Linked DNA regions of Arabidopsis thaliana. The protein of the gene in region 1 interacts with the protein of each later gene in a biochemical or structural test. Each region holds a gene or a part of one and is shown in the gene's direction. Other genes may lie near its edges.

Region 1 (7,072 bases):
GGCCATGTCAAGCGGAGGAATCGAAGAGCTTGGAACATTTCTTGTAATGTGTGTGTGTATTTTTTTGCCTACACGTGTACATGTGGAGGTGGAGCGACTCTACTTGCGTCGTCATCGAGACATCGACTATAGCAAAAGGACGTTACTTTAGTTTATAATCTGAGGTCAGTGTGGGCTAAAACGACGTCAGTTTGTGAGTTTGTACATTTTTCCAATAGTTGCTGTAGTTAGAAACCATTTTTATGCACTCGGTGAAATAAGAAATCCATTTTTGTCCGGTGGTCTTTTAATAGAGCTCAAGGCCGTCATTTTTACTGTATTTCATTTAAACTGTTTAACAGACAAAGACCAAGAATACCAAACTTCAAAACGAAAATGCCGAATCAATGTGACGAGACAGCGTAAAAAGCATGAGGAAGGGTTCTGATATACACATGACCCATAACCAAAAGTATGTACAAAAGGGAAAGAAAAATTCAGCCTTCAAAACTTAGCAAATGGTTTTTCTTCCAACTCCGGAGAGGTAAGACTAGACCTAAACCCGGCTCTAATTCTTGAATTTTTCCAGATCAGAACCTGAAACACTACAAATCTCGTAATGCAACCTTCTTGCTTCTACGATATCAATAATATTACCACTACGATCGTTAGCTATTCGATTTGGAAGAGATATCAGGAATAGATGCACAAGACGCAGCCTTGTGCTGGATGCTTTTCATGCTCAGCTCCATGCTTCTATGAACCATGTCCTGCAGCAGTTTCTTAGCCGTTTCAGCAGCTTTTTCTGCCCCGTCGACTTGTACTGCAATGCCATAGACAATTTTCTCTAGTGTTAATGGAGTCATTTCTTTCTCACGAGGGGTTTCTCTCAGTAGGTCCAAGAGAACTCTGGCTCTATCTCGGGACTTTGATGTTCCATCTACTGTTGAACTTAGGAGACCCGGGATTGCACCTTCTTTCAGTATGAGTTTTCGGTACTTATCTCGGTCGCTGCGGCATAGAGAAAGCAGAGCTCCAACTGCGTGTTCTATGCTGAGTGGAGAACCATCCTCTACAGTCTCTACTAAAGTCAGAATACCATCTTCACAGCTGGTGATGGCATTTCGCCCGTCCTCAGAGTGAGACAGGATCATCTCAACCAAGGCTGTGGCTTTTTCAGCAAACTTGGAATGTTTTTTGCATTCTTTAAGGAGGTGGATGAGCGGGTAGACAGCTTTAGCATCAAGAATTGGAGCAGAGTACTCTTTGCAAGCTGATAAATTATGAAGGGCTGTGACAGCATCTACTTTCCCTTGTACAGTTCCGGAGCTAAGCATCTGAATCAGAAGCGGTGGAACTCCAGAACTTATAATCATCGCCTTGTTGGCTGGTGCAGCTGAAAGTGTTAGAATTGCTGCAGTGGCCAATTCACGCAAACTAGCATTGTGGAGCTTCAGAATCTGTATGAGAGGTGGAACGGCACCGGCTTTCACAATCTCAATCTTATTCCTGGTCAGAAATCACAACCCAAAATAAGTAATGACCACCACAAGAACTGAAAATGCAAATCTATTTCCACACAGATTACAAAGGATCTGTAGAAAATACTGCTGGAGCAAGTAGGTAAATTACATCCTACATTTGCTATCTTTATCCAAATAGCAGTAAACTACAGGTAAAGCTAGACCTAGAGCAATCAGATCAGTGTCCAAAAAGCAGTATCCTCTTGGTTTCAACAGATCTAAAGTCCAAAATGTAGCTACTCTCAGTACATTCTGATGCCTGATTGATAGAGTTAAACAATTGCCTTAACACTAAAACTACAAATCCAGAACAATGTCATAAATCAAGCTCTGAGCAGAGATTAGTGAAGTCACTAATCCTAAACACTGCCTAAAGCCTCAGATCGAGTTAAATTAGACCTAGAAGACAAGACGAGAGAATCAGTTTCTGGTACATGGCAATAAAACCTAGAACAATCCAAGAGAGATTACCGTTCATTTCTAACGGCGAGGTTAAGGAGAGCGAGGAGAGAGGCGTGACGAGCATCAACGTTAGAGGAGAAGAGCATGGGAACAAGCGGCGGGATAACGCCGGCGTCGGCGAGTTTTGACCTAGCGGAAGACTTAACCGGAGACTTTCTAAGCAGCTTTCGGATTTCCTTAGCGGCTTCAATTCGGAAATCGAGATCTCCATGGAGAAGCTTCTTGGAGAGATGTAGAATCAGTAATTCCTTTGTGGTTTTCCATGTGTTGGTGGTGGTTTCCTCCTCTGCTTCGTCTTCTTCCGATATATTTGCCGTCACCGTTGAGTCGCCGGCGATGGAAGCCATCATCTGATTCTGGTTCTCTTCCACCACCATTATCTCTGTCTCTCTCGCTCGCTTGCTCGCTCTTGTGTTTGTTTCTCTCTAGTCAAAGACGAAACGACGACTTATCGAATCATCTACTTAATTAAAACGAAAGTTATGGTATTAGTTGAAAGAGCCCATATTTCTCGAGGTTAGTTAGTTCACAATTTACCAACCGGGACATTTCAATATTTTAACTTTTTCAATTTTATGCAAGGAAAGAATATAAGAAAGAATTAGCTAGAAAAATTATTTTCAAAATTAACAACAAATCCCGAATATTTATATAACTATTTAAAAGTATAATTAGGTTGTTCGTTTGATCGCCGCATCTATTTGCGACAGCAGCAACCATGATGATATTCGTTTGGTGGACGCAAGACGATGTGGTCAAACGTTAAGGCAAACGCAAGTAGCTGCGGTTAAAAATTGTTGACATCATTTTACTTCAACAATATGCGGTAGAGTTTGCTGCTGCCGTTAGGCGTAATGAAACAAATAGACTAACACAAAGAATAAACGACTACAATTTATAATTTTTCATTTATAAAATAAAATAAAAATTGGAATATATTGTGCGGAATTCCTATATATCAGAACTCATTGATCTGCTGCTTCTTCTGAAAGTTCTTAAGTGGTTCCACGATGTTTCCATTTTGTTCTGACTTCCGAGGCCAACGAGATGAGTCCAATAAACAAAGGGCACGGAAACATTCTTTTTAAATTAGGTTTGTTTTTTTATTTTTGGTTTTTGGTTTTTCCCGGAAATTGTATGAAGTCTTCGTTACAGTTTCTCTCTCTCACCTTCTCTGTATAAAGTCTTCTTGAGATCGAAGGATAACTTCAATTCAATTCTCTCCAAGGTACACACAGGTACAGTTTTCTCCTTCATTCTCTCTTGTTTGAGATTTCTGAAGATGGGTTTGTTAAAAAAGTGTACTTTTTTTTGTTCTCTCTCGTGTAGCTGATTTTTGTGATAAGAAGATTGATTGAGATGGGTACTAGAGCTCAGCAGATTCCTTTACTTGAAGGTGAGACTGATAATTACGATGGTGTTACTGTAACCATGGTGGAACCTATGGATTCTGAGGTTTTTACTGAAAGTCTTAGGGCTTCTCTTTCGCATTGGAGAGAAGAGGTATTAACAATATATATAACTCAGATTCAAGCCTTATTGTTTGATTGTACTGATAACTGATAAACTTCTGAGATATGATATGAGCTCTTAAGAGTTTAGAGGATTGTGATAACATGAGGACTTAGTCAGAGTTTATGATTTGCAGGGGAAGAAGGGAATTTGGATAAAGCTGCCTCTTGGATTGGCTAATCTTGTGGAGGCTGCAGTTAGTGTAAGTTTTATATGAGGATTTGGATTGACGTTAGTTATTGTGATGATTAGTTGAATATCTTCTTGTGTTTGGTGATTTTTTCAGGAAGGATTTAGATATCACCACGCGGAGCCTGAGTACTTGATGCTTGTATCTTGGATCTCTGAAACTCCTGATACAATCCCAGCCAATGCTTCTCATGTTGTAGGTGCTGGTGCTTTGGTCATCAACAAAAATACTAAAGAGGTAGCCAACTGTTCTCTTCTTTGCATAGTTTCGCATACGTTGCTTAACAAATAATGATAATTCAATGAGCAGGTCCTCGTTGTCCAGGAGAGGAGTGGGTTTTTCAAAGATAAAAATGTGTGGAAGCTGCCTACTGGTGTTATCAACGAGGTGATTTTTACATAAGATTGTTTTTGTGATCTTTTACTATCCCGTTAAATATTTACAATCACGGTGAATGACATGAAGAGTTAAATGCTAAAAAGAGGCAATCTTGATGAACGAAGCTCCTAGGATCCTATACCTTATTGTCCTGTGAATGAAAACGAGTGAACTACTAGTAAGGGTTTGGCTTATGAAGGGTGTCAGCGTATTGTTTAGGGGAGTATATTCTAGGAGTTGGTAGTGCTGAGAGTTGTTGGTGAATTGCATAAGAAAGTAGTTCTTACATCTTACAGATCCATCAAGTGTTTACTGATAATCTGTAATGATACCAAGAATGAAACTAAGAGAATGGTGGATATGAAGTTTTGATTGTTGTTGTCTTTTGCTTCTAACTAAAACATTCCAATGCCACAGGGCGAGGATATATGGACTGGAGTAGCTAGGGAAGTGGAAGAAGAAACTGGAGTAAGTATCTGGCTTTCAAAAATTAAGCATTTCAATCATAAGGATCTCTTACTTGACATTCTAATCTAAAATTTGTGTTCTTCTCTTGGCTTTTCTCTTCAGATTATTGCAGATTTTGTCGAAGTACTGGCTTTCAGGTAACTTAAATTTTATTGCTGTAGACACATTGATCTGGCTTAAACGCATTTGTTCCTCATTGTTCAACTCTTTACACTCTCAGGCAAAGCCACAAAGCCATCTTAAAAAAGAAAACAGATATGTTTTTCCTGTGTGTCTTAAGTCCGCGCTCTTACGATATTACTGAACAAAAATCTGAGATCTTGCAAGCTAAGGTAAACCTTTCTAACTTTCAGTGTTGATGAGCCAAGAAAATGTTAAAAGTTACTGACATATATTTCAAATTTAACCGAAACTGGTATATTGTATTACAGTGGATGCCGATCCAAGAGTATGTAGACCAACCATGGAACAAGAAGAACGAGATGTTCAAGTTCATGGCTAACATTTGCCAAAAGAAGTGTGAGGAAGAATACTTGGGATTCGCCATTGTGCCAACTACCACATCATCTGGTAAAGAGAGCTTTATCTACTGCAATGCGGATCATGCCAAGCGCCTTAAAGTATCGCGTGACCAAGCCTCTGCTTCTCTCTGAAAACATTCTCATCTGATTCTGTTTGATCTCGGCATGTGTGTGTCCAGTGTGTACAAAACAGGAAACTTTCTTCTATATTATTCCGATTCTACAAAATTGCGTCTAAATATTTAAGTTTATACCATCTCTATGAGCCACTGTAAAACTTGCCATCGACTTCTAGTCTATTTCCAGTGATGGTTTGATTCTCCCAACGCTTACGTGCTTTTTAAAGATATGAGGCTTAAGAGTGTTACCATACACTTGGTTTATTCTTCCAAAATATCTTCTCGTAACCGGTTTTAAGTTCTCAGCTGTATCGTCTCTTGACCATTTACTACACTGGTAAATGGTGTGAATCCAAGAAAGTGTTAATGCCATTAAAAAGGTTCACATTACTTTGTATATGTACACCAATTTTTGCGACTCGTTTGTACTGTGTGCCTAACGTGAAAAAGATAAGGCATATATGGGCTTTAGCCCCAAAAAAACTTTATAGGCCCCATATTAAAATTATAGTGTATTTATTTTTCCAGAAATAGAAAATTTATTGTAACATGGAAACATCAAAATTTAAAATGGAATAGTTGCTAAAAATACTTGGGTTCACCCTTCACCCCCTTATATTCACCTCTTCTATTTTAATCAATTAAAATCTGACATTTAACAATAATAAAAAGAATTTAATTTTATTATAAAATCTAATTTGCCACTAAAACGAAATTATGTATCGGTTTGGATTTATTAGAAAAGGTTAGGGTTTAGATTTTATGATTAAACGAGGTTAAATATCGGTTTGGGTTTAGAAAGTACGATTAGGGTTTAGATTTTACAATTAACCAATTAAATATTGGTTTAGGTTTATAAACAGATTTAGATTTTACAATTAAACGAGGTTAAATGTCGGTTTGGGTTTTGAAAATACGATTAGGGTTTAGTTTTTTCTTACGATTAAATGAGTTTAAATGAAGGTTTGGGTTTACAAAGGAGAATTAGGGTTTAGATTTTGTAATTAAACGAGATTATATATCGGTTTAGATTTATAATTATAGCTTTAATTTATTATGTAATTTAAGTAAGATTTGACATGACATGTTTTTATTGGTTAATGCAAAAGGAGGTGAATAGAAGGGTGAATAAAGCTTCGTTCAATAGTTGTGGCATTAAATGTTTTGAAGTTTTGCACATTACTTAAAGCAATAAAATGTCTATTTTAGTATCCTTCAAAATAATTACATTTGTTATAAAATAATTACATTTCTTACAAGTAGGTACTAACAAAATCAATTTTTATCTCACACTAAATTTCTTAAATACATCCGATTTTTATTTAATAAGTTAAATCATGATTGTTTTTTTTAATTACACCTAAACCGCAATTTGTAAACCGGATTAGAGATTAACTAAACTTACATGTCCAAAACACTATTAATTATGGATTGATGGAACAAGAAAGATCTAGTATATCTAATAAGAATATCACCACATTAGGTAGGAGCTGATAATACAATTTTTGTTGGAGATGCCCAACCTAGAGATAGAAAAACATTTAATCCCTCTTAAAGCCCTTATTACTATGTGCAATGCAACACATATGGTTAAAAGATATTACGACATTATAATCGGAAGTTTGAACTAACACTCATTTTATCTCGTATTATAATCTTTGTCCCTATTCTGATTTCCTCTGTAATTGAAAGTATACTATATTTCATATTAGTGTAGTTACGATGGAGCATCATCATGGGTCAAATCCAAGCGACCACAAAGGATGTAACATGCATCTTACAGCTCACAGCCTCACACTATTTCGACTACCACCGACACTATCTTTATAGATACACGTGATTCCAACGTACCAATCACTCTTTTGAATGATCATCACATTTTTTTAGAATAAAACATATCAGATCCAACACAAGTGGAAC
Region 2 (6,509 bases), on another chromosome or scaffold:
GTCCAAGTTTCATCACATCATTCCCGTCGCAGCCTTGTACCCTAATCGCTTCCGCCGCTACAATCAGGACTTGCCACAACTTGCCTTCCAGCTTTAAATCTAAGGACCAAAGGTTGTACTTCTTCTCATCGTCTTCTTCATCATCAACTGTCTTTTCTACGCGTTTGACATGTCCGTTGTCCCCATATGATAATCTGATAGAGTACTATTATCATTATGCTAGTGGTTTGATAAGCATTGGATGTAATCGAAAGCAAATCGTAACTAACCCCAGCACTGGTAGATTCATAACTTTACCAAGTGTCAGAAGAAGAAGAGTGGTCGTGAAAAGTTTTTTCGGGTATGATCCAGTTAGTGATCAATACAAAGTCTCGTGCATGACGGAAAGACGTCATGGCCTTCGACAAGACCCATCATCTGAACATCAAGTGTTCACATTGGGAGAAAAAAAGCCATGGAAAATGATAGATTGTACTAGCATTCCTGATCACCGTCCTTGGTCTAACGGTGTGTGCATAGATGGTTTTGTGTATTACGTTGCTAAAACTGGACAAGGTATGTCACAACTGAGCTTAATGAGATATGCTCTGAGGGCTGACAATTTGAATCTTTTTACTAGTTTACCTGAAGAGCTTCGAACTCTAAAACTATCTGGTGACACTTTATTGAACTATGAAGGGAATGTAGCATGGCCACTCCAGTTACATCTTATATTTAATGTGTGGGTTATGGATCAGGATGGCGAAAAACATGAATGGTTGAAGAAAATAACTTTCAATATTGAACCTTGGAAGAGTTCATCTCGCTATCTAGACGTTAGAGGCACTACTCATACGGGTGAGTTTATTCTTGCACCATCGCACTATCCTGATGATGAGTTTTATGTCTTCCATTACAATCTCGGCAAGAATAGCTTTACAAAGAAGAAACTTCAAGTTCGTATTTACAATGTTAGAATTGTGTCTACGTCTTCAATAATTGGTCTCTATCTCTCCTTCTCTCTCTTGTAGTCATCTTCTCTCCATACCTCTGGAATATATCAGCCAAATCAAACAAACTCACTTCTCTAAGTTTCTTAGCCATCTCTTCAAACATAACCACACCTTCCTCATTAGAATAATAATGCAAGAACTTGCTATAATCAAACCTAGGAACTTCAAGCCCTCTCTTCAACGTTCTCTCAATATACTTTGTAGTTTCCAACCGTTTCCCCGCCTTGATCATACCTCCAACGAATATCGTATCGAAATTCACTAACGGGTCCGGCCCTTTCCTTCCCCTTCTCCCCAAATGTCCTTGCAACAACATAAGATACGTATGCATTATTGGCTCGCACCCTCTCTGTATCATCTTCCTGAAAACCTCTGTTGCTTCGCTTGCCCGTTTAATCTTCACCAACCCTTTTATCAACCCATGATAGATACTAATATCCGGATTCTCAACCCCTTCCACCAACCCATAAGCCTCTACAACTCTTCGTTTAACCAACAGTCCATAGATTAACGACGCCCAAGTTAAGTTATCCACATAAACACCTCTCTCACGCATTTCATCGAACACCTTACGTGCCATATCAATCCTACCGTTTTTACACAACCAATCAATCATCACCCTGTAGAAACCCCCATCCAAATCACCACCTCTTTTCGAAACCATAACATAAAACACCTTAGAAGCTTCATCAAACTGATTCTTCTTCAGAAGTGTTTCCATAATCTTTTTACCAGCTTCGATATCAACATCAAATCCTTCATCCATCATCAAATTCCAAAGCTTAGCAGCTTCAATCAAATCACCAACATCACAAAACCCTTGTATCATCGTCCTATAAGTAATCTCATCAGGTTTAATAAACTCCTTCAGCTTAATAAAAACAAACTTAGCTTCTTCAACAAGCTTCTCCTTACACAGAGTCTCCACTCCTCTATTCATCGTTTCCACATTATACAAATACCCAAAACCGTTCATCAAATGGAAATAGTTTACACATTTCTTCAACTCTCTAGCAGAAGCAAGTGTTTTCAACACAATCCGAAATGTCTTATCGTTAACCAATCCACGTTTTCCGATCTCTTGAGCTAATTCCCAGAAAAGATCCATGTTTCTTGAGTTCCCGATGATTGCTAGCATCTTATTAGAGGTAGTGGAAGTGTGGGTGAAATCAGGGTGGTGAGTTTGAGAATAGAGGAAGAAACGGTGTACAGGACGCCACGAGAGTGGGAAATTGTTGCAGACTTGGAGGAAGAACTCGTGAGTTAGTTGAAATTTGGTGGAGGAGAGTTTAGAGACGAGACGTGAATCAGGTGAGTTCTGTTGCTGGTAGAGAATTGTACAGACTCGGAGAAGATGGTCTTGGTTTATCGGTGTGATTGTGGTTGGAGTTAGCTCGGTGGAGAAGAAGCGGTGGTTGAGAATGAAGCATCGCCGAATTGAGTTTCCGATGTTAATCATCCTCCGAGAAGTCACGACGGCCACAGCCATAAGTTTCCCGGCCAATGGAGAAAACAAAAGACAAGAACTAAATTAAATAAAAAAAATTAGGGTAAAATTATAAGAGGCTACAAAGAAGCCCATCTAAGCCTATGTCTAAAAATGAGTGGGAAAATGGAGATGCGGGGGATCGAACCCCGTGCCTCTCGCATGCAAAGCGAGCGCTCTACCATTTGAGCTACATCCCCGTTGATGTTTAAATACGTAACCAAAAACATATATAGGATTAGATAAAACGGTGTCGTTAGGGAGCGAAAAGTTCGTTAAGTTAGTTAGAAAGAATAGCGAGGAAAAACCCAGGAATTTCGCAGACACAGAGGTGTGTTCGGATCTCAAGGTTGAGATTCAGTCTTCTTCCGCCATTTGCGAACCATCTTCGAAACTCTTTTTATATTTCTCTCTTTCCCTCCCATCTCTTTCGATTATTTTATTTATCTCACCAAGGAAAACAAAACACAAAACAAACAAACAAACAAACCCATAAATCAAGATCTCTGTTTTCAGACAGATTATTATCGGAACAAAATGTCATCATCAGGATCCGACAAAGAGAGAGAGACTTTTGTCTATATGGCTAAGCTCTCCGAACAAGCCGAGCGATACGACGGTAACATAATCTCTTTATTATTTTCGATTTTAATTGCGAGAATTTATAGAAAGGATTTGGTAATGAATGTGCAGAGATGGTGGAGACGATGAAGAAAGTGGCGAGGGTTAATAGCGAGCTGACTGTGGAAGAGAGGAATCTGTTGTCGGTTGGTTACAAGAACGTGATCGGAGCAAGAAGAGCTTCGTGGAGGATAATGTCGTCCATCGAGCAGAAAGAAGAGTCTAAAGGCAATGAATCAAACGTGAAACAAATCAAGGGTTATCGCCAAAAGGTAGAAGATGAGCTCGCTAACATTTGCCAAGACATTCTCACCATCATTGATCAGCATCTCATCCCTCACGCTACCTCAGGGGAAGCTACCGTCTTCTACTACAAGATGTGATAACAGAAAAACACTCTTCTTTTTGAATCATCATCTGCAAATGAAACTCAATTTGATCTGGAATTTGTAGGAAAGGAGATTATTACCGTTACTTGGCTGAGTTTAAGACCGAGCAAGAGAGGAAGGAAGCTGCTGAACAGTCTCTCAAAGGCTATGAGGTATTAAATTTGTTTCTTTAGTCAAATACTAGAGAATTATGAGAAGTTTGGTCTGATGCATCTGTATTTTGATTAGGCTGCAACACAAGCTGCAAGCACTGAGCTTCCTTCGACCCATCCAATTCGTCTTGGCCTTGCTCTTAACTTCTCTGTTTTCTACTATGAGATCATGAACTCTCCTGAAAGGTTTCAATCTAAAACATCAATAAATAAATATACCAATAGAGTGTCAACTTTGTTGTAATGTGGTTTCTATTAAACTGTTGCAGAGCTTGCCATTTGGCTAAGCAAGCCTTCGATGAGGCGATTGCAGAGTTAGATACTCTAAGTGAGGAGTCGTACAAGGACAGCACTTTGATCATGCAGCTCCTGAGAGACAACCTCACCCTCTGGACTTCTGATCTTCCTGAAGATGGAGGTTTGTCTGAAAATCACACAGCACACATGATGTCTCAGAATGTTTGAGCTTATAAGCAGTGGTTTTGTTATGATTTCAGGAGAAGACAACATCAAGACTGAAGAATCCAAGCAAGAACAGGCCAAGCCTGCCGATGCCACTGAGGTAGTAATTCACTTTAAAATGAGGTGTATGAATAGTTCTTGTTGGGTCTAAAGGCTCACTCTTTTGTTTGTTCGTTTCAGAACTGATCAAAGGGCTTGGAAGTTGAATGAGATTTAGATTCGATGTCCAGAAGGGGGAGGCAAATTCCTTTAAATTCCATAGCTTGGTTTCATCAGGAAGATGAGATCAGAGACAATTGAATTCAATCCTATATTGTTTCTTTTTTGTATTACTTTTCGTCTTCTTTATTTTGTTCTCAATTTTCATGTCATCAAGTATTTTATGTTACGCAATTTTATTATGATTTGATCAGCATATGCTTTTGCTATCATACATTCCCATCAGATCAATCAAATGTGTATCAAAAATTGCCAAACAAACACAACCCTGGCTCTAAATGCAAACATGAAAAGAGCGAAAACCGCAAAAAGCTTGTTATGATTATTAACTCTCTGGACAGAGTAACAAAAAGATTATTCATTGATCCTGATGGTTTTATTGACATTAAAACTTCAGAATATATAGAAAAAAGCTTATCATAAGAGCTGAAGACAAAACCTAACCATATACAAAAAGATGGGAGAAGATGAATGAAAAGAAAACATCTTTTCTTCTTCCTCTGTCATTCTTCTTCCTTATCAAAGAAACTCTGCGGCAAGGTAAAGTCTTCCTCGTGATTCAGAATGTCTATGTCCTCATCATCTGATTTCTAAGAAACAAAACAGAGGTAACAGATTAATAAAACCATCACCACAACTCTAAACAATGCCATGAAGTGAAACTAAAGCTATGGGACCAAAATAACAATCAATGCTTGTTGTAATTACTACTCACCAGCATCTCAATGTTGTAAAAACGATCGAGTAGCTGCAGAACCTCATCCGCAGTGAACGGTCGGTCAAAGCTATGTACAGGAATAGTTTGATAGAAAGACTCAATCAATAAGGATCAGAGACTCATGTATGTATTGGAAGTATGAAAGAAACTCTGAGAACAACAAACCTTCTTCCGAGATACTCCATCAGACCATAAAGAACAAAGTGGCGATGTATCCCTGCACACCATCATGATCCCATTAGCAGAAGAAATCAAGAAACCAACAAACTGATCAATGTGCAAGAACAATAGACATTGAAATGATTGCATTTGATAATGGTTTCTGATAACTATCATGATACAAAAGTAAACATTGGCAGAAGCATATAGAACGTAGCTAAAGGATCAAGATTTGAGAAGTGAAACTTGCCTCGGAGTTTAACAGGAGGATAGATTTCAAGGGCTTCTAATAACCTTAGCTCTAATTCAACCTGTGACTGCTCCTGAGAAGCAAATCCAATAAAAGAGGAACCTTTAAAATCTCAGGAACAGAAATGGTAGAGAGATAGAGAGAAAGAGAGAGAGAGACCTTGGAGAGAGAGGAGGCGGAGGAAGGTAAAGCTTTACAGGGAGAGTGTACGGACAAACCATCTTGCTCTTCCTCTTTCTCTTTACCTCCTCCGCCACTTTCGTCCGTTCTTCCACCCATTTTTTAGGGTTTTGTGGCTTTGATCCCAAATGTGTTGAAAACTTCTCATAAGCTGTTTGTGATTTGTGTATATATACAGGAGTGCTTGTTTGATCTCTGAACTGGGCCGGCCCATATTTAAGGCCTTGTCTTTGTGCTTTCATCCCACACACAATGATTATTTTAAAATCTAATTCTTTTTCTGCACTCATTTTAAAATCTAATGTTATTGAATGTTATTTTTTGCACTCATTTTAAGGGGTTTTAGATAATTTTGTTTAGTTAAATATACAAAATTATAAATCTCATGGCTTTAACTTTTTTAAGTGAGATTTGGGAGATTTTACAACAAATAACATTTTTCCTAAAGTCATCCAAAAACATAAAATCATTTTAAAACTAAAATCAATTAATATAGGGTTGAATTTAACTCTTTAGATTCAAAGAAGATAAAAGTCAAAATATTCCAAAGGTTTTGACATTATTGGTCAATGCAAAAGCATCTTCCTAAGACTATCGATCCTAAGAAAGTAAGAACCCAACTCTATTGGTTTCCGAAAAAGAAAAAAAGAAGCCAAGTAATGTATTGGATAAAAATCAGATTAAGAGACTCGGAAGAATAAAATGAAGCAATATACATCAATGAAACACTGGGCATGATGATCCATAACTTCAAAACTAGATGAGCCGGGGCTTCATTCCTTACTTCTCACAAGGGTTCGTTATTACAACCATCCATTTTGGATTTCAATTGTTTAATGCTCGGCCCCTGGAGTAGTCTATGTTGAACAGCATGTTCCTGC
Region 3 (6,446 bases), on another chromosome or scaffold:
AAACGAACTAGTGCCGCTTCTATGAGGCTCTCATTTTTGCCCAGGTGGATCTTTTATATTCCCTTTTTTTGCGTAATCAAATTTTTCTTATTTCACATCCCAAAACTCACGTGTCAGGTTTAACGTAAATACGACGTCGGTTAGCTAATATAAGGCCATAATGAAAGCCCAACTAATGGGCCTTAGTTACCCTTGTGTATGATTGTTGGAAGGCCCATATTCACTATTGTGAGCAATATTTATTTTGTACAACAATTGGAAAAGCCTTTGTAAAAAGACACTAGATTTTCAACCGCGGGGACTAATTATATTTTAAAGTTAATATATATAAAAGTTTGTAATTTGTAACTATCTATGTAACTTTCTATAAAATATTTTTATTTTATAGTTTAGAATTGTTATTAAGTAACGTCCTGCCAAACCCGTCCCGCCAACCCGTCCCGTAAAAAAAACTCATTTATTTTATTAATGTTGATCTTATTTATCATATGTTTATGAATCATTGTCTAAATATTTTGTAATTTTGTAGTAATTAAATGCTATCAAATATCTCTGCGGTTTGATGATTATAATTGAATTGTAATAGTCATGCAGAAAAACAATATCAATAATGATAATTTTGTAGTAATTAAATGATATTAAATATTTTGAAAGTTTTATTTTAGTAACCAATCGTGTAGTTAATGTAGAGAGATTTTAGGAAAATTGTTAAATGTCAAATATTTAATTCGAAGATTTTTTTCTAATTATCAAAAACAAATATTAATCTAGTGGCAACCATTGTAAATAAATCCCAACTACAGGATTTATTTCATAAAATGGCTGCAAAAATGTATATATAGATAGATGTGTATAAAAAACAGAAGAATTTGCTTGTAATTTTTATTTTATTTTTTTAACACACCCTTATAATTTTCAAAAGTTTGTATCTTTTACATAATTTCTTTCAGTTAAAGAAAGTTAAAAGTTGAATGCAAAAAACACAAAAGCACTAATGAGACTAAGTTCTTTTCTGTAGGAAATCTACCCATAGATTCTTTTTGGGGTTATTATCATCTGTTATATCCATCCTTCAATCTTGACCGCACAATGTTATCTTCTTGTTTTGTATGTTCCCGATAGACCGATACTTTGGAATTTTAATCCAAAAAAGAAATTGAATGTTGCAATCAGATTTAAGAATGACAAAAGAAGGAGTGGGGTTACACAAAAGCCAATGAGGAGGCATGTGACGTTTTTATGTAAAAGGGAATCTAATAGCTAAACAATGTCAGTCCATTTCCCTAAAGTCCTTTTCATTACCACCCCCACCCATTCTATTTTCTTTATTTTGAATTTGGTATGATGATATTTTCATCATTTCATTTCATGTACTAATCAAGCTCCATATTCCATATGAATAAATGTTACTTTAATAGCAAAAATCGTTATCAGACTCGTCTATTCATTAGTTGCGTGTCCACTCTCTTATTATATTCTTATTCAATTGAATTTTTCCAATCTAAAGTAGGTTAGAAAAAGATTGGCAAGATTTGTTTCATGATTAACAATTTAAATAAATAAATTAATTAAATTAACAGACTAAAAAGAGTGAATTAGAAAAATAACTAGAAAAAAGTAAGTTCTTGAGTAGTAATGAAAGTGACAATTGCTAGTAAATAAGTGGTTTATGAAATCATATATATGAAGTGACAATTGCTGTAAATATGTGATTTAATAGCTTTTCATTAAATATCACAACAAAAAATCTGTGAAATGAATCAATAGCTATTAAATCACAAAAGTAAAAAAATCTGTGAAATGAATCAATAATCCTAACTATTAATGGGTTTAAGAAAAGTCCTCGAAATGAATACCATCTTTGACTCCCTCTTTCTTTCTCATTAGGGCTACAGATTTTTGTCTTTAAAAAGCCATTCAAGTTTCAATGGTTTTTCACTTTTGTTCTCCTCCTCCCTTTTTTTCTTTTCAGGATTCTTCTTTTCTATGTTTTATCTTTCATAATAGATCTGATAATTTTGATTTTTCACTATATATATTATGGTTAATACTAGTAGCTTTTTCATTTCAAGTTTTATCCTTCCATTGGTTCTTTCTGAGTCAAATTGTCTCCTGTTTCGAACCATATATAAGTTTTCAATGGTTTTGTATTAACTCAAGTATTCAACATTATGTCTCTCTTTTTCTTGCTTGGATCTCTAATGCTGTTCATATTTTAAAGCATAGGTTTAGGTTAGATGCATGTAACTGCCAATTAAAAGAAGGTCAAGAGTTTTTTGATTGTATGAATATATGAGTTAGTCAAAGCAGATCCACACGATTATATAGAAAAACAAAGGAAGAAGAAGAGGAAGAGCTCCTTGAAGTTCAATGGAGGGTTTAGCAGGGTGAAGTAAAGCTGCTAAGCTATGGATCCCATAAGCCTTATCAAATTCAATATAATTGATGATAAGGTTTTTTTTATGGATGCCATATCTCAGGAGCTTTCACTTACCCCTTTAATGGCTTCACTCTTCTTTGGATTGAAGGGAGCTCTTCATCTCTCCATCCCTATCTCTCTCTCTCTCTATCTTTAGTTCTTTTAAGAATGACTTTTCATTTTTTGTGTTGTCTGTTGCAGGTGTATAAACATGGATGATGGATCTTGAGTAGGATTTTTTATTTTATTTTCTTGTGACATATATGCAATTTTTATGGTTTGTACTTTGTATTTCCATTAGTTTCGTACTTTTCAGTTATGTATCATTGTTAATTCTAATGTTTGAAGACATTTAGAGTTTATACTTCTCTAAATTACTTTTTCGACTCAATAAAGTCGTTTAAGTGTCTACAAGTATATACCGTGTTAATACTTTTCAATTCATATCCACCATTGTATAAAGATATGATCCGCTTTTATTTAAGTGAATCAATTAATTTACAGTATTCCTCTATATCTCTCTCACACTGTTCGAATAAATTTAATACTCAACAGATCTAGTTTGAACTTTTTAAATAAGTTTAGCCGAAGAAAATTATCATTGTTGAACAAACTTATTAAATTCGGATTGGCTTATTTGATGCATCCAGATTGCAAAACTATATTTTTGAATACAGCTGGAAATGTTTTTAAAGTGTAAAACAACGGTATATATATAAGTCAAACTGGTTTTTTTTGTAGATTTCTCTCCCTTTAGCAAGTTTTATTGCTTTCCTATAATCCATAATATTTACATCCAAAACAGCAATTATATAAGATTTTCTGCTATTTCAATACGATGTTATACTATTTCGGCAGATGTACGTACTACATTACATCTAACCAATCCAGATTGATAACTATATTTGATGTAATCTCGAATTAGTCAATCTCTGTACCACATATAAGAAATTTTGCTTTTTTCACAAAAGAGTTGTTAGAAATTTGACCTATACAAAAATAATGACCACGATAAATGAGTATATACATGTACGTAAGATAAATGTAAAGTTGTATATTTGTGCGCCATTCATGATTCATTCCACGTATATATTGTTTGTTCGAATCAAAGCAAACTCAGAAAATGAAAACGCTGAATGACGATAAAAATAGGGACGCTTTTGTTCGAATTAGCGTGCCCATTATGTCACGAACGTAGATTCAAGTCTTGGCCATAAAACAGGATTCCTTATAGCATCCACCAAAACACGAGAAATCATTCTCAAAAACAGTCTCTCCAAATCCGAACTAAACAACTCATAGCCCATATAATAAGGTCTGTAGTGGGATGCGTTTTTGGCTTTTAGAACATACCAATTGGAGAACACGCTTTCTTACACATGGAAACAAATTACGAACGCTTCCACCAAATATGGGCTGAGATAAGCCCATTAACATAAGACCCAGTAATAAATATATAATATGAGCCCATATTAAATGAACCCTAATCCATTTTTAGTTTCTATCATATAAATAGCTTCTTGTGTTTTTCACGCCCTTCTTCTTTGTATTTCCGCCTCCCCCGAGAAAACGAAAACCCTAGTTTCAGAGGCATCTCCAGACACCGAAAATGGCGGAAGGACTCGTTTTGAAGGGCACCATGCGTGCACACACTGACATGGTGACGGCAATCGCCACCCCAATCGATAACGCAGACATCATCGTCTCAGCTTCCCGCGACAAATCCATCATTTTGTGGAAACTCACCAAGGACGACAAAGCCTACGGTGTAGCTCAGAGGCGTCTCACTGGTCACTCTCACTTCGTTGAGGATGTTGTTCTCTCCTCCGATGGACAATTCGCGCTTTCCGGCAGCTGGGACGGCGAGCTCCGTCTTTGGGATCTTGCTGCTGGTGTCTCCACTCGTAGATTCGTTGGACACACCAAGGACGTGCTCTCCGTCGCCTTCTCACTCGACAACCGTCAGATCGTCTCTGCATCTCGTGACCGTACGATCAAGCTGTGGAACACTCTTGGTGAGTGCAAGTACACCATTTCAGAAGGTGGTGAGGGACACCGTGATTGGGTTAGCTGCGTCAGATTCAGCCCTAACACGCTTCAGCCGACGATTGTATCTGCTTCGTGGGACAAGACCGTGAAAGTGTGGAACCTTTCGAACTGCAAGCTCAGATCGACTCTTGCTGGTCACACCGGTTACGTGAGCACTGTGGCTGTATCACCTGATGGTTCTCTTTGTGCAAGTGGAGGCAAAGACGGTGTTGTTTTGCTGTGGGATTTGGCTGAGGGGAAGAAGCTTTACTCTCTTGAAGCTAACTCTGTGATCCATGCTCTTTGCTTCAGTCCCAACAGGTACTGGCTCTGTGCTGCAACTGAACATGGTATTAAGATTTGGGACCTTGAGAGCAAGAGCATTGTTGAGGATTTGAAGGTTGATCTCAAGGCTGAGGCTGAAAAGGCTGACAACAGTGGTCCTGCTGCCACCAAGAGGAAGGTACACAAATATTTTCCCATGATGGTTCAATCATATGCTTTTAATCGATTACAAGTTTTCAGCTTTTGTATAGGAAGAATTTTCTGTAGTTGGTTATGATGTTGATTATGACTTGTGATTAAGTATTACCCATAGCTGAGTATATCATAATTCGTAATGTTGGTCTGTTATTGAAAATGTGAAAGTTCGTAAAAAGTTTCTTACATGGATTATTCTATTCAAATGCTACACGATGATATATGTAAATGGTCTTCTACACTTGGTTTCAGTTTCAGATTCTGCAATTATGTTTGCTTGAATTACCATTCCGTTTGGAGACTTAGGCTCTCTATCTTCTTTATCTGTTTTAATCTTCCATATATAGCAATTACCATAATTGTGTTTTCGCCCCAGTTTGAGCCTAAATTGTCAATTAAGGTTGTCTTTTAATGGTTTTGTGTGTCCATACTCATTGATTACCTGACATTTCTTGTTAGGATCATAGTAGTAGTAATATTTTTCTCCTGATACATAGCCCTTTGTTTGTTGTGTAATAGTACATGTAAATAACCATGGAAAGTGACTGAATTCAATTTGTTTGTTGATTGGGTCAGGTTATTTACTGCACAAGCCTTAACTGGAGCGCTGATGGAAGCACCCTCTTCAGTGGTTACACCGATGGAGTCATTAGAGTTTGGGGTATTGGTCGTTACTAGTAATCTCATCACTTGTGCTGTCGTTGCTCTCTGCTATCTGCTTGTTGGTTTTATCTATCACTTATGTTTTTATCGACAACTCATGAAGTACCTTGAGGTTTTTGGAAGGATGTTTGTTTTCTTGTCAATCTAGGTTTTTGCTTCTTTATCTTATCGTTCGAGATCTTGGTTTTTAGAGTTACTTCTCCCATTTTGTGGCAAATGATTCCCATTAATAATATAGCGAAATGGTGGAATAGCGGAATTCTCTAAAATTTGTAACTTTATCCAATATGACAGATGAACCAAATGATTTTTAACATGTAATAAACTACTGATTTGCAACGAACTAAGAAGGTTATAGACATGAACATACTATCTTTGGAAATGGACATGAACTGCCGCTATTACTGCTGCTTCCTTCGACCAACGAAATTTCGCCACATAGACTGGTAAAGTCGAACAGCCGCTATTACTGCTGATGTGGCATCTGTCGTATTTTAATCACTCCCGCCATTGCCTTTTCGCGCTAAGTTTTTTTTTTTACTTATGCTTTTTTACTCTAGACTGGAAAAACAAAACAAAAAAGGCTATAAAAAGAAAAATAAAGAAGACAAATTCGCAAGAACCCTAAAAAGAAGAAGATAAGAAATCGGAAATGGGCATCAAGGACCTTCTCAGATTCATGAAACCTTATATCCTTCCCATTCACATCCAGAAATACGCCGGGAAACGAGTAATTTTCTCCGACTTGTTTTCTTAATGTTCTCCATTTCCTTCTCGATTTTAGTTTCCGTTAATCGTTCTGGGTAAATCTCCATTAAAAATCAAGTTTTTAAATGATGGGCTTACACATTTTTGT
Region 4 (9,570 bases), on another chromosome or scaffold:
CTATGAACCAGGCTGTTGTAGAGAGCATGGAAAAGCAACCAAAGTCACCACAATCAGATAGTAGGTCTGGAGAAATCATGTGTGCAGTTGAAACCAAACCATCGGAGTCTTCAGTTGACGAAAGTTCTATTGATGAAACAAACGTTATAACAACATCCGATGTTTTACCTGTCGTAGCTCGATCACTGGAAGAATTTCCGCAACCTTCTGAACCAAAAGAGGGGATTTCAATGGAGATAATCTCTGAAAGCGTGATGATTCCCACAGAAGCTACTGGTCCTGGTAATGTAACAGTAATTGATGAAGTTGTGACCGAGGAAACGAAAGCTGAGACCACCGAGAAAGAAGAAGAAGGAGAAGAAGAGGAGGAAAGTAAACCAAAAGAGATAACAAAATCTGATGTTTTACTTGTCGAAACTCGAGCACTGGAAGAATTTCCCAAACCTTCTGAACTAAAAAAAGGGATGGCAATGGAAGTAATCTCTGAAGGAGTGGTAATCCCCACAAAAGCTGCTGGTCCTAGTAATGTAACACTAAGTGATGAGGTTGTGACTGAGAAAGCAAAAGCTGAGACCACTGCAAGCAACACTGATGCAAATGTCCAGAGTCCTGAGTCCAAAGAAACTCCAGAGAATTCGGTGGAAACTATTGCAGAGCAAAAAGGAAAGTAGGAGAAGAAGACGAAGTCCAACCCTTCAAGCTCGAGTTCAAGCTCAAGCTCTAGTTCGAGTGACTCAGATTGAAAATTAAAGGGTAATACATCATCTCAAACTCAAGTAAATATATCTTTGTTAAAGGGTAATGATAGGCACTTCTGGGTTTTGTTTTTTTTCATCTGTGTCCTCTGTTTTAAAAGGGGCAAGAAGTAGCCGCTAATCATATTTTTATACCAAGTTTTCTCCTTCCTTTGTATTGGTTTTCTTGTGTGTTTGTGTTTCCTTTTCTCTTCTTTCTTCAGCTTTCATATTTATCGATTTGATTGATTTGTATCTCTTGAAACCAGAGAGGTTTTCTCAGGGTTTTGGATTGTGTCTTTAAATACTTTTCTCGCATCTTTTTTGGGGGGTTTGTTATTTGTATTGGACCTGAGAAATGGGAAAGGTACTGCCGTTTGGATTTTTCTATGAACATTGTAATATAATGGACTCGATCGAAGATGGTAACACCGTTCAGATTACAAATAGTTTTTGGTGGTTCATATTTAGTTGTAAATCTCTTATTAACATGAAGCATTGCCTCTCTTTTTTTTTTTGGTAAAAGATGAACTTGTGTTTGAGATTTTATGTAAATAAAGTATCCAAGTATATTCATATAAATCACCAACTTTTGATTCAAAGCATAATGTGTGTGTATACAGTTTTTATTGTTTCACATGTCTAAAAGCATGCCTTTCCATAGTTTAATCATAAAGTTTTATAAGCCAGCAATAAGAATACTTTTGGATCTTGTGATTCGTGTATCATATGATTACCAAACTCAAGATGCCAAAAAAGGTTGGTAAACAAGTATTTTATTGATCCAATAATTTGTTATACTAATACACATACGATTTAGTTCAATAATTCCTAAAGAAAAGTTTTTTTGTTTGTTTTTCATTTGGATTGTTAAAGTATTCAATTCTTTATGTCGTACAACAAGTAAATAGAAAGAAAAAAATAGAGTGCGAGTTTCACTTTCAATAAATGCTTGTGTGATTATCTTTATTTGTGTACATACTAGATCTACATCCACCGACAAACCAGTGTCGAGGAAGCATATGCAACTGTCCTGCAGATTTAAAGTCTCATGTAATTAAATGTTGTTCAATTTGTTTGTTGTGTGATTACCAGTTTGATGTATAGTTAAAGTTACCAAGTAATAAAATCATCAAACATACATATAGTACTAATTTTTTGTTTATCACATAAACATTTTGTTGACTTTTTGGTGTTGTTTGCAATAGCATCTTCTTGATAAATTCCTAGTGAACTCAAAATTGACCTACACCAGTTCCATACAAATAGAAAGATACTCCAAAACTAGTTGTGGAAGTGGTTGAATATAATTTTATATTCCAAACTTAGAAAATTCATGTTAAATTCCGCAAAAGAGCTTATAACGTAGTTTATGCACGATATGGTTAAACTTCCTCAGTTGCTATAGAGTTAAAAAAAAACAAATATTTTGAAATTGGTAACTAGTACGTGAAATTTTTTAATGCAGACTGAAAGAACAAAATAAAACTTAAAATATGTTTACAAAAAAATATTCTTTCATGATTTACGCAAACCAAAAGTTACATTTAAGGTTAGGAAAGAAAAAATGACCTAGGAAATTAAAACAATGAGGTTCGTTGATAAAGGTCAAGAATCAAAGTTTGGTAGCCAAATTACCAGCAAACAAAAAAAGATTAAGACCATTAATCCATCGCGTATACTCATTGTCTTATGAATCTTAAACAATAATATTATATTATATACAGTAGGTCCATAATTTATGTTTCTTTACCTACTCTATTTACCAAAAACATACATAGTTTTTATCTGACTTACACAAGTGTACTAATGGCCAGACAAGATTGTTACTTGTTCAAGTAAAATTGTGTTACCAGATATTCAACTTTCTATATATACATATAGATTTGACAACTATTCGACTTTCTATATTTAACTGAAAGAGTTGTATCACTGAAATTTGGAGTATTGTTCCCTGTAAATAATTCGATTTGTTTCCAAAACGCTATGGAACAGGCCTTGATTTTGATACTCTTTCGTGCTGACACTTGAAACGGCGTCGTATCAATAATAGAAGAAAACCTTACTGTGGAAATAATCAAATTGTGAATCTCCACCAACCTCAATGGGTCCCATTGCCACCCACTAATCTCCCCACGTACACCAACTCCCCTTCACGTTTTAATCTCTTAATATACTTTTATTATAAGTTAATTAAATGATTTCAACCTTAGTAATACTAACCATTAATTATTCATTTCTAATCTCCAATATTTTTTTTGAAAAACCTTTCTGTTCAGATATTTTCGTCAATTAATCAAGATCTCATTCATAAATTAAAAAAAAAAACAAAATTCAAGCTAAAAATACATACCCAACAAAAATTCCTTAAAAAAATTACTTATGGGGCATCTGGTAATTTAATTTTCCTATAAAAGATGGCAATATTAATTCAGTTTTTTTTTTTAATTTACCAATATGATACTTTAATTATATTTCTTACTTGTTAGCTCTACTAATGCACACATACTTATTTCTACGAATATAAGAAAAAAATACTGAACTCAAACAATAGACAAAAAAGAAATAATCCTACACTCAAGTGTGTTGAAAAATAACATCAAATTCAGAGAAAATGCACATACACCAATAATATAAATAAATAGGGATATTTAAAATAATAAATAAAATTGCGAAAATATCGAGCACCACCAGATCTACAGAAATGACACAGAGCCCAACGATGATGTATCTCGTTTATTTTCGCTATAAATAAACTCACACAGCCCACTCTTCTTCCTCGCTCTCTCTTTCGCCTTCTCTTAGCCTACCCTTTTTCCTTCCTCCTCTCCGATTCTTCCTCCGTCAGGTTCGTCTCCGACTTTCTATGTCTTCCTTACGTCTCTCTTATTTAGCTCCCTTTCCTTCCTTCTCCACGTTATTATTACTACTTCGCTTTTAGTGTGATTCGTTTCATTCTCGTTTTTTTATATTCCTCGATCTGTTTGCTCATTTGTTGAGATCTATTCGCTATGTGAGTTCATTTGACTCAGATCTGGATATTTCGTGTTGTTCGATTTATAGATCTGGTTTCTGGATCTGTTTACGATCTATCGTCATCTTTCCTTTGAAAATGATTGGTGTTTCTGTGTTCGTATTCGTTTAGATCTAAAGTTTTTGATCGATGAATGTCGCATGTGTTTTTATCTGAAAGTTTTCGATTACAGTATCAAGTGGTGGTAGTAGTAGTAGTAGACTCAAAAAGCTGCACAAACTTTTTATACACGTGAATTGTGATTGCTTTACGGTTTTCTTGGAGTTTGTTAATTAAATCATTTAATATTAAGAAGTTTATGAATTAAGAGAACGTTATTTTATACTATGATTTTGATTTTGATTTGGTTTGTGTGTTTTAATGCAGTAAAAGAAAATCAAAATGGCTTCACACATTGTTGGATACCCACGTATGGGCCCTAAGAGAGAGCTCAAGTTTGCATTGGAATCTTTCTGGGATGGTAAGAGCACTGCTGAGGATCTTCAGAAGGTGTCTGCTGATCTCAGGTCATCCATCTGGAAACAGATGTCTGCCGCTGGGACTAAGTTCATCCCTAGCAACACCTTTGCTCACTACGACCAGGTTCTTGACACCACCGCCATGCTCGGTGCTGTTCCACCTAGGTATGGATACACTGGTGGTGAGATCGGCCTTGATGTTTACTTCTCCATGGCTAGAGGAAATGCCTCTGTGCCTGCCATGGAAATGACCAAGTGGTTCGACACCAACTAGTGAGTCTTCATTGATCTCTTGTGTTCTTTTTGTTGACATTGGTCTTTTTGAGTTGTGGACTAATTTGATTATGCTTTTGTTGATGCAGCCATTACATCGTCCCTGAGTTGGGCCCTGAGGTTAACTTCTCTTACGCATCCCACAAGGCGGTGAATGAGTACAAGGAGGCCAAGGCTGTACGTATCATTCTTTACTAATATCCGTTTCTTAGGAAATTACTGTTTGCTCGTCTAATTAACTATTAGAGATCATAGGCTTTAGTTTGAGGATATAGTGTTTAAGCTTAGATTCATTGAGTGGTGTTTCACTGAGGATGCTAATATGCTAGGAAGGTCTCGGATGCATTGAATATAAAAACCGTTAGAAAAGTCATCTGGCACTGGTTGTCTAAAGTAGTTTTTTTTTCTACGAAGTTCTGATCTGGTTTACTTGATGTTTATGCAGCTTGGTGTTGACACCGTCCCTGTACTTGTTGGCCCAGTCTCTTACTTGCTGCTTTCCAAGGCTGCCAAGGGTGTTGACAAGTCATTCGAACTTCTTTCTCTTCTCCCTAAGATTCTCCCGATCTACAAGTAAGAAATCACTTTATTGTTTTTCTTTATTATGCCATCCGTATCCTTGATGTTATCAATGATCCTCTGACATACCACTGATATAATGACTTTGATTTGTGTACAGGGAAGTGATTACCGAGCTTAAGGCTGCTGGTGCCACCTGGATTCAGCTTGACGAGCCTGTCCTTGTTATGGATCTTGAGGGTCAGAAACTCCAGGCCTTTACTGGTGCCTATGCTGAACTTGAATCAACTCTTTCTGGTTTGAATGTTCTTGTCGAGACCTACTTCGCTGATATCCCTGCTGAGGCATACAAGACCCTAACCTCATTGAAGGGTGTGACTGCCTTTGGATTTGATTTGGTTCGTGGCACCAAGACCCTTGATTTGGTCAAGGCAGGTTTCCCTGAGGGAAAGTACCTCTTTGCTGGTGTTGTTGATGGAAGGAACATCTGGGCCAACGACTTTGCTGCGTCCCTAAGCACCTTGCAGGCACTTGAAGGCATTGTTGGTAAAGGTAATTGTTCTTCCAAAATCATCTGCCTTTTACCTGACATTACTAGGGAATTATTGAAAAACAACTGTATGAAATGTTGATCTGTTGTCTTTTTGATGCAGACAAGCTTGTGGTCTCAACCTCCTGCTCTCTTCTCCACACCGCTGTTGATCTTATCAATGAGACTAAGCTTGATGATGAAATCAAGTCATGGTTGGCGTTTGCTGCCCAGAAGGTCGTTGAAGTGAACGCTTTGGCCAAGGCTTTGGCTGGTCAGAAGGACGAGGTATTTTACCCACATGCTCCCCTAGTAGTGGACCCTTGAATTATCTGTAGTGTAATTGATCCAGAAAAATCTAGAACTCAATATTTTTTTTCTTTCAGGCTCTTTTCTCTGCCAATGCTGCGGCTTTGGCTTCAAGGAGATCTTCCCCAAGAGTCACCAACGAGGGTGTCCAGAAGGCTGTAAGTTTGATTTCAAACTGATGCACTGTGCTCACCCAATGGTTTATTTTCCTAATCTTGTATTGATTGAGATAGTTTCTCATTCTTGTTATCTCAGGCTGCTGCTTTGAAGGGATCTGACCACCGTCGTGCAACCAATGTTAGTGCTAGGCTAGATGCTCAGCAGAAGAAGCTCAATCTCCCAATCCTACCAACCACAACCATTGGATCCTTCCCACAGACTGTAGAGCTCAGGAGAGTTCGTCGTGAGTACAAGGCCAAAAAGTTAGTCTCCTAAATTTAATCCTTGGGCTTATGCGTCACACATTTTCTTAAATTGTTGTGATGCTAATGGTTTCTTTAATCTCTCTTTTACTAGGGTCTCAGAGGAGGACTACGTTAAAGCCATCAAGGAAGAGATCAAGAAAGTTGTTGACCTCCAAGAGGAACTTGACATCGATGTTCTTGTCCACGGAGAGCCAGAGGTGAATTTTTTTTATTATTCTATGTTTTTGCCTGATATTTCTAGTAATCCTTGGTACTGTTTCTGATGAGACATGTTTTCACAATTTTGTAGAGAAACGACATGGTTGAGTACTTTGGTGAGCAGTTGTCTGGTTTTGCCTTCACTGCAAACGGATGGGTCCAATCTTATGGATCTCGCTGTGTGAAGCCACCAGTTATCTATGGTGATGTGAGCCGTCCCAAGGCAATGACCGTCTTCTGGTCCGCAATGGCTCAGAGCATGACCTCTCGCCCAATGAAGGGTATGCTTACTGGTCCCGTCACCATTCTCAACTGGTCCTTTGTCAGGAACGACCAGCCCAGGTACATAATGTTACTATAATCTAAAAACAAACATAAACACCAAATAAAGAACAAAACACTAAGACAATCTTGGAATCATTGTAGGCACGAAACCTGTTACCAGATCGCTTTGGCCATCAAGGACGAAGTCGAGGATCTTGAGAAAGGTGGAATCGGTGTCATTCAGATTGATGAGGCTGCACTTAGAGAAGGACTACCACTCAGGAAATCCGAGCATGCTTTCTACTTGGACTGGGCCGTCCACTCCTTCAGAATCACCAACTGTGGAGTCCAAGACAGCACCCAGGTTTGCTTAAATAAAAACTACACATAACGAGTCTCATGTAGTGTAATGCTTTCTCAGTTGCTCATAACTTATGTGTTTCTGGTGTTTTTTTTTTGCAGATCCACACTCACATGTGCTACTCCCACTTCAATGACATCATACACTCCATCATCGACATGGATGCTGATGTCATCACCATTGAGAACTCCAGGTCTGATGAGAAGCTTCTTTCCGTGTTCCGTGAAGGAGTGAAGTACGGTGCTGGAATCGGTCCAGGAGTCTACGACATCCACTCTCCAAGAATACCATCTTCTGAGGAAATCGCAGACAGGGTCAACAAGATGCTTGCTGTCCTAGAGCAGAACATCCTTTGGGTTAACCCTGACTGTGGTCTCAAGACCCGTAAGTACACCGAGGTCAAGCCTGCACTCAAGAACATGGTTGATGCGGCTAAGCTCATCCGCTCCCAGCTCGCCAGTGCCAAGTGAAGAAAAGCTTGATTTGAACAAGGAAACGTTTTTTTTTCTCTAAAATGGTTGTGTTTTATTTGGTTTAATAACTTTCTTAAAAATATTTTTAGTCGAAGGTAGATTTGATGCATATGGTTTCTTTCTTGTTGAGAGAGAGAAAGGCTATAGCATCCTTTGGATTTGATGCAATGTTTGTGATTTTCTTTTTGTCTCCAATATATTTCTCTGATGGAATGTCTTTTTTCTAAAGTATCTTGAAAAGGAATAAGAGGATTGATTCTTATACAAATACTTTTGTTTGCGTTGTCCTAAACTCACTACTTTTTTTTATCCGACGCAATCAGTGCTTTGTAGCCTGTTCTTGAAGTAGGCCCCTTTGTATGTCTCTATCTGGCTCCTGTATCAGATTGTTGTTTCCCTTAGATTTCTTTATTTCGTTGGCAAAAAGAAAATCTGAATTGCCCCACAAAGAGCGTGGTGGCTGATGTTAGGTTGCAGTCTCATGGTCCACCACTTTAGACTCGAAGATTTATTTCGCTTGGAGAACATCTTCGTTGATGTTTATGTATCATTTGAACTGTAGACTGTAGCCAAGTAGAAGGTTTTAACTCTGTAAAATCTGAGATGTTGTATGTTCTCAAGTTTTATCTCAGTAATTCAAGTCTCTTTGAGTTCAAATAAGAAAAAGATTGTAGCTCGGTCTCGAAGAAAAGTTCTTGCTCATTTGCAGTTTTTAATATTATTTTTCTCTCTAAGATTGTGTGAAAATAACCTAGTTAGTAAACCAAATTCAATTAGTGTAAAAGAACCTCAACCTTTTAAGATCGTTTTCAGTAAATTTTTATTGAAGATGGTGAATGATAAAAATCTTACAAAGTAGAAACTTTAATTAAATTAGAAGATAGTGTGTACAACAAAAAGAGACTTCAAAATTGTTGGTGGCAACAACAGGATCACATGAGTAATCCTTCTGCATTGTTAAGTGCTTCTTTAGCTTTCCTGAATTTCCCATAGATTGCCTTGTTATTTTTCACAACATATTCCTTCACAAAGAACTTGATGCCATCTCGTAGAGCTTCATATTCCGGATTCAAGGCTATGCGTGTGAACAAGTTCCACACAAGATTCTCAGGGTGCTCAAAGATGGCCTCGAACAGCATTCGAAAGTGCATGATTCGTTTTGGAGTTAACTCCACTGGATTTGCTAAGTCAACGGATTTGAGAACAGCAAGAGAAAGATTGAAGGTTACAATAATCTCTGCCACGAATTTCGCCAGATGCATCGATCTCTGAAGTGACATCGACTCTAGTTCTTTAAAATGGTCCCAAATGCAATACTGCAGGAAAAAAAACACAAGAGATGATAAGAGAAAAAAGAATGGTTACATAACCATGGCTTCGGTTCTATTAGATAGTAAAAACGTACCTGCAGTGTAAACTTATGATTTTTGTCGTGCTCGCACAACTTTGAAGCAAGGACTGTGTAGAACTTGTTGAATGCTTTCTCCTGTAAACAGCATTCAACTAGAACCCTCATGATCTCTCTGTCCTGTTTTCCTGGCAAATCCAATCTAAGAAGTTTCTCGAATGCATCGATGTAGTCCTCACTACTCATGATCACACAAAATATTGCTTTTCTGGAATCTGTATTCATCCTCTGTGCCTCAGCTAGCTTTAACATTTTTTGGGCCTCAACAACCTCTGCATCCATTGTTTCTGCTATATCTTCAGCGGTGTTTGAGTCAACCACCAAATCGCCAGAAAGCCACCACTGACCCTTCTTCTCGGGGTCAAGCAGCTTGCTCCATGTAAGCCCTCTTAATAACACTTCTTCTACTCTCAACTGGGTAAATTATAAAAAAAACGGACAAAAACAAATGCATTTTAGTCAAAACTTACTAATCCAAAAGCCACCTAATAAGCAGAAGCATACATGTTTATAATTGTCATGATGGAATCCATTTTATAACATTTCGAGGAATAGAGCGCTAAAATATTACCTTTTGAAGCCACT

Evidence for each region.
Region 2: the proteins of NUDT7 (region 1) and GRF12 form a complex in vitro, tested with the Arabidopsis thaliana proteins (one study listed by BioGRID).
Region 3: the proteins of NUDT7 (region 1) and ATARCA form a complex in vitro, tested with the Arabidopsis thaliana proteins (one study listed by BioGRID).
Region 4: the proteins of NUDT7 (region 1) and ATMS1 form a complex in vitro, tested with the Arabidopsis thaliana proteins (one study listed by BioGRID).

Annotation. Positions count from the first base shown.
Region 1 is NC_003075.7:7,484,393-7,491,464, forward strand, and holds NUDT7 (MutT/nudix family protein), read left to right. Parts: upstream 1-2,908; 5' UTR 2,909-3,202; intron 3,203-3,293; 5' UTR 3,294-3,323; coding exon 3,324-3,467; intron 3,468-3,525; exon of another isoform or gene 3,526-3,612; coding exon 3,613-3,678; intron 3,679-3,762; coding exon 3,763-3,903; intron 3,904-3,975; coding exon 3,976-4,053; intron 4,054-4,278; coding exon 4,279-4,398; intron 4,399-4,461; coding exon 4,462-4,512; intron 4,513-4,614; coding exon 4,615-4,649; intron 4,650-4,732; coding exon 4,733-4,844; coding exon of another isoform or gene 4,845-4,871; exon of another isoform or gene 4,872-4,943; coding exon 4,944-5,165; 3' UTR 5,166-5,263; downstream 5,264-7,072. Other genes in the region: AT4G12710 (ARM repeat superfamily protein), read right to left, coding at 648-1,488, 1,974-2,341. UniProt on the Arabidopsis thaliana protein: Mediates the hydrolysis of some nucleoside diphosphate derivatives. Can use both NADH and ADP-ribose as substrates, but not 8-oxo-dGTP, cyclic ADP-ribose, GDP-mannose, UDP-glucose, ATP, or GTP. Exerts negative control of EDS1 signaling.
Region 2 is NC_003070.9:9,154,352-9,160,860, reverse strand, and holds GRF12 (general regulatory factor 12), read left to right. Parts: upstream 1-2,767; 5' UTR 2,768-3,015; coding exon 3,016-3,097; intron 3,098-3,171; coding exon 3,172-3,478; intron 3,479-3,552; coding exon 3,553-3,640; intron 3,641-3,716; coding exon 3,717-3,826; intron 3,827-3,909; coding exon 3,910-4,058; intron 4,059-4,137; coding exon 4,138-4,202; intron 4,203-4,282; coding exon 4,283-4,288; 3' UTR 4,289-4,582; downstream 4,583-6,509. Other genes in the region: AT1G26510 (F-box associated ubiquitination effector family protein), read left to right, coding at 1-1,010; AT1G26500 (Pentatricopeptide repeat (PPR) superfamily protein), read right to left, coding at 964-2,481; AT1G26470 (chromatin modification-like protein), read right to left, coding at 4,825-4,911, 5,037-5,106, 5,205-5,256, 5,449-5,521, 5,608-5,727; AT1G26460 (Tetratricopeptide repeat (TPR)-like superfamily protein), read right to left, coding at 6,454-6,509. UniProt on the Arabidopsis thaliana protein: Is associated with a DNA binding complex that binds to the G box, a well-characterized cis-acting DNA regulatory element found in plant genes.
Region 3 is NC_003070.9:6,218,297-6,224,742, forward strand, and holds ATARCA (Transducin/WD40 repeat-like superfamily protein), read left to right. Parts: upstream 1-3,904; 5' UTR 3,905-4,028; coding exon 4,029-4,910; intron 4,911-5,503; coding exon 5,504-5,605; 3' UTR 5,606-5,946; downstream 5,947-6,446. Other genes in the region: AT1G18090 (5'-3' exonuclease family protein), read left to right, coding at 6,243-6,320. UniProt on the Arabidopsis thaliana protein: Major component of the RACK1 regulatory proteins that play a role in multiple signal transduction pathways. Involved in multiple hormone responses and developmental processes.
Region 4 is NC_003076.8:5,931,622-5,941,191, forward strand, and holds ATMS1 (Cobalamin-independent synthase family protein), read left to right. Parts: upstream 1-3,416; 5' UTR 3,417-3,582; exon of another isoform or gene 3,583-3,747; intron 3,748-4,134; 5' UTR 4,135-4,149; coding exon 4,150-4,499; intron 4,500-4,588; coding exon 4,589-4,676; intron 4,677-4,944; coding exon 4,945-5,072; intron 5,073-5,178; coding exon 5,179-5,570; intron 5,571-5,671; coding exon 5,672-5,835; intron 5,836-5,933; coding exon 5,934-6,014; intron 6,015-6,111; coding exon 6,112-6,278; intron 6,279-6,372; coding exon 6,373-6,478; intron 6,479-6,570; coding exon 6,571-6,821; intron 6,822-6,905; coding exon 6,906-7,107; intron 7,108-7,205; coding exon 7,206-7,574; 3' UTR 7,575-8,244; downstream 8,245-9,570. Other genes in the region: AT5G17910 (cardiomyopathy-associated protein), read left to right, coding at 1-671; AT5G17930 (MIF4G domain-containing protein / MA3 domain-containing protein), read right to left, coding at 8,510-8,893, 8,983-9,399, 9,557-9,570.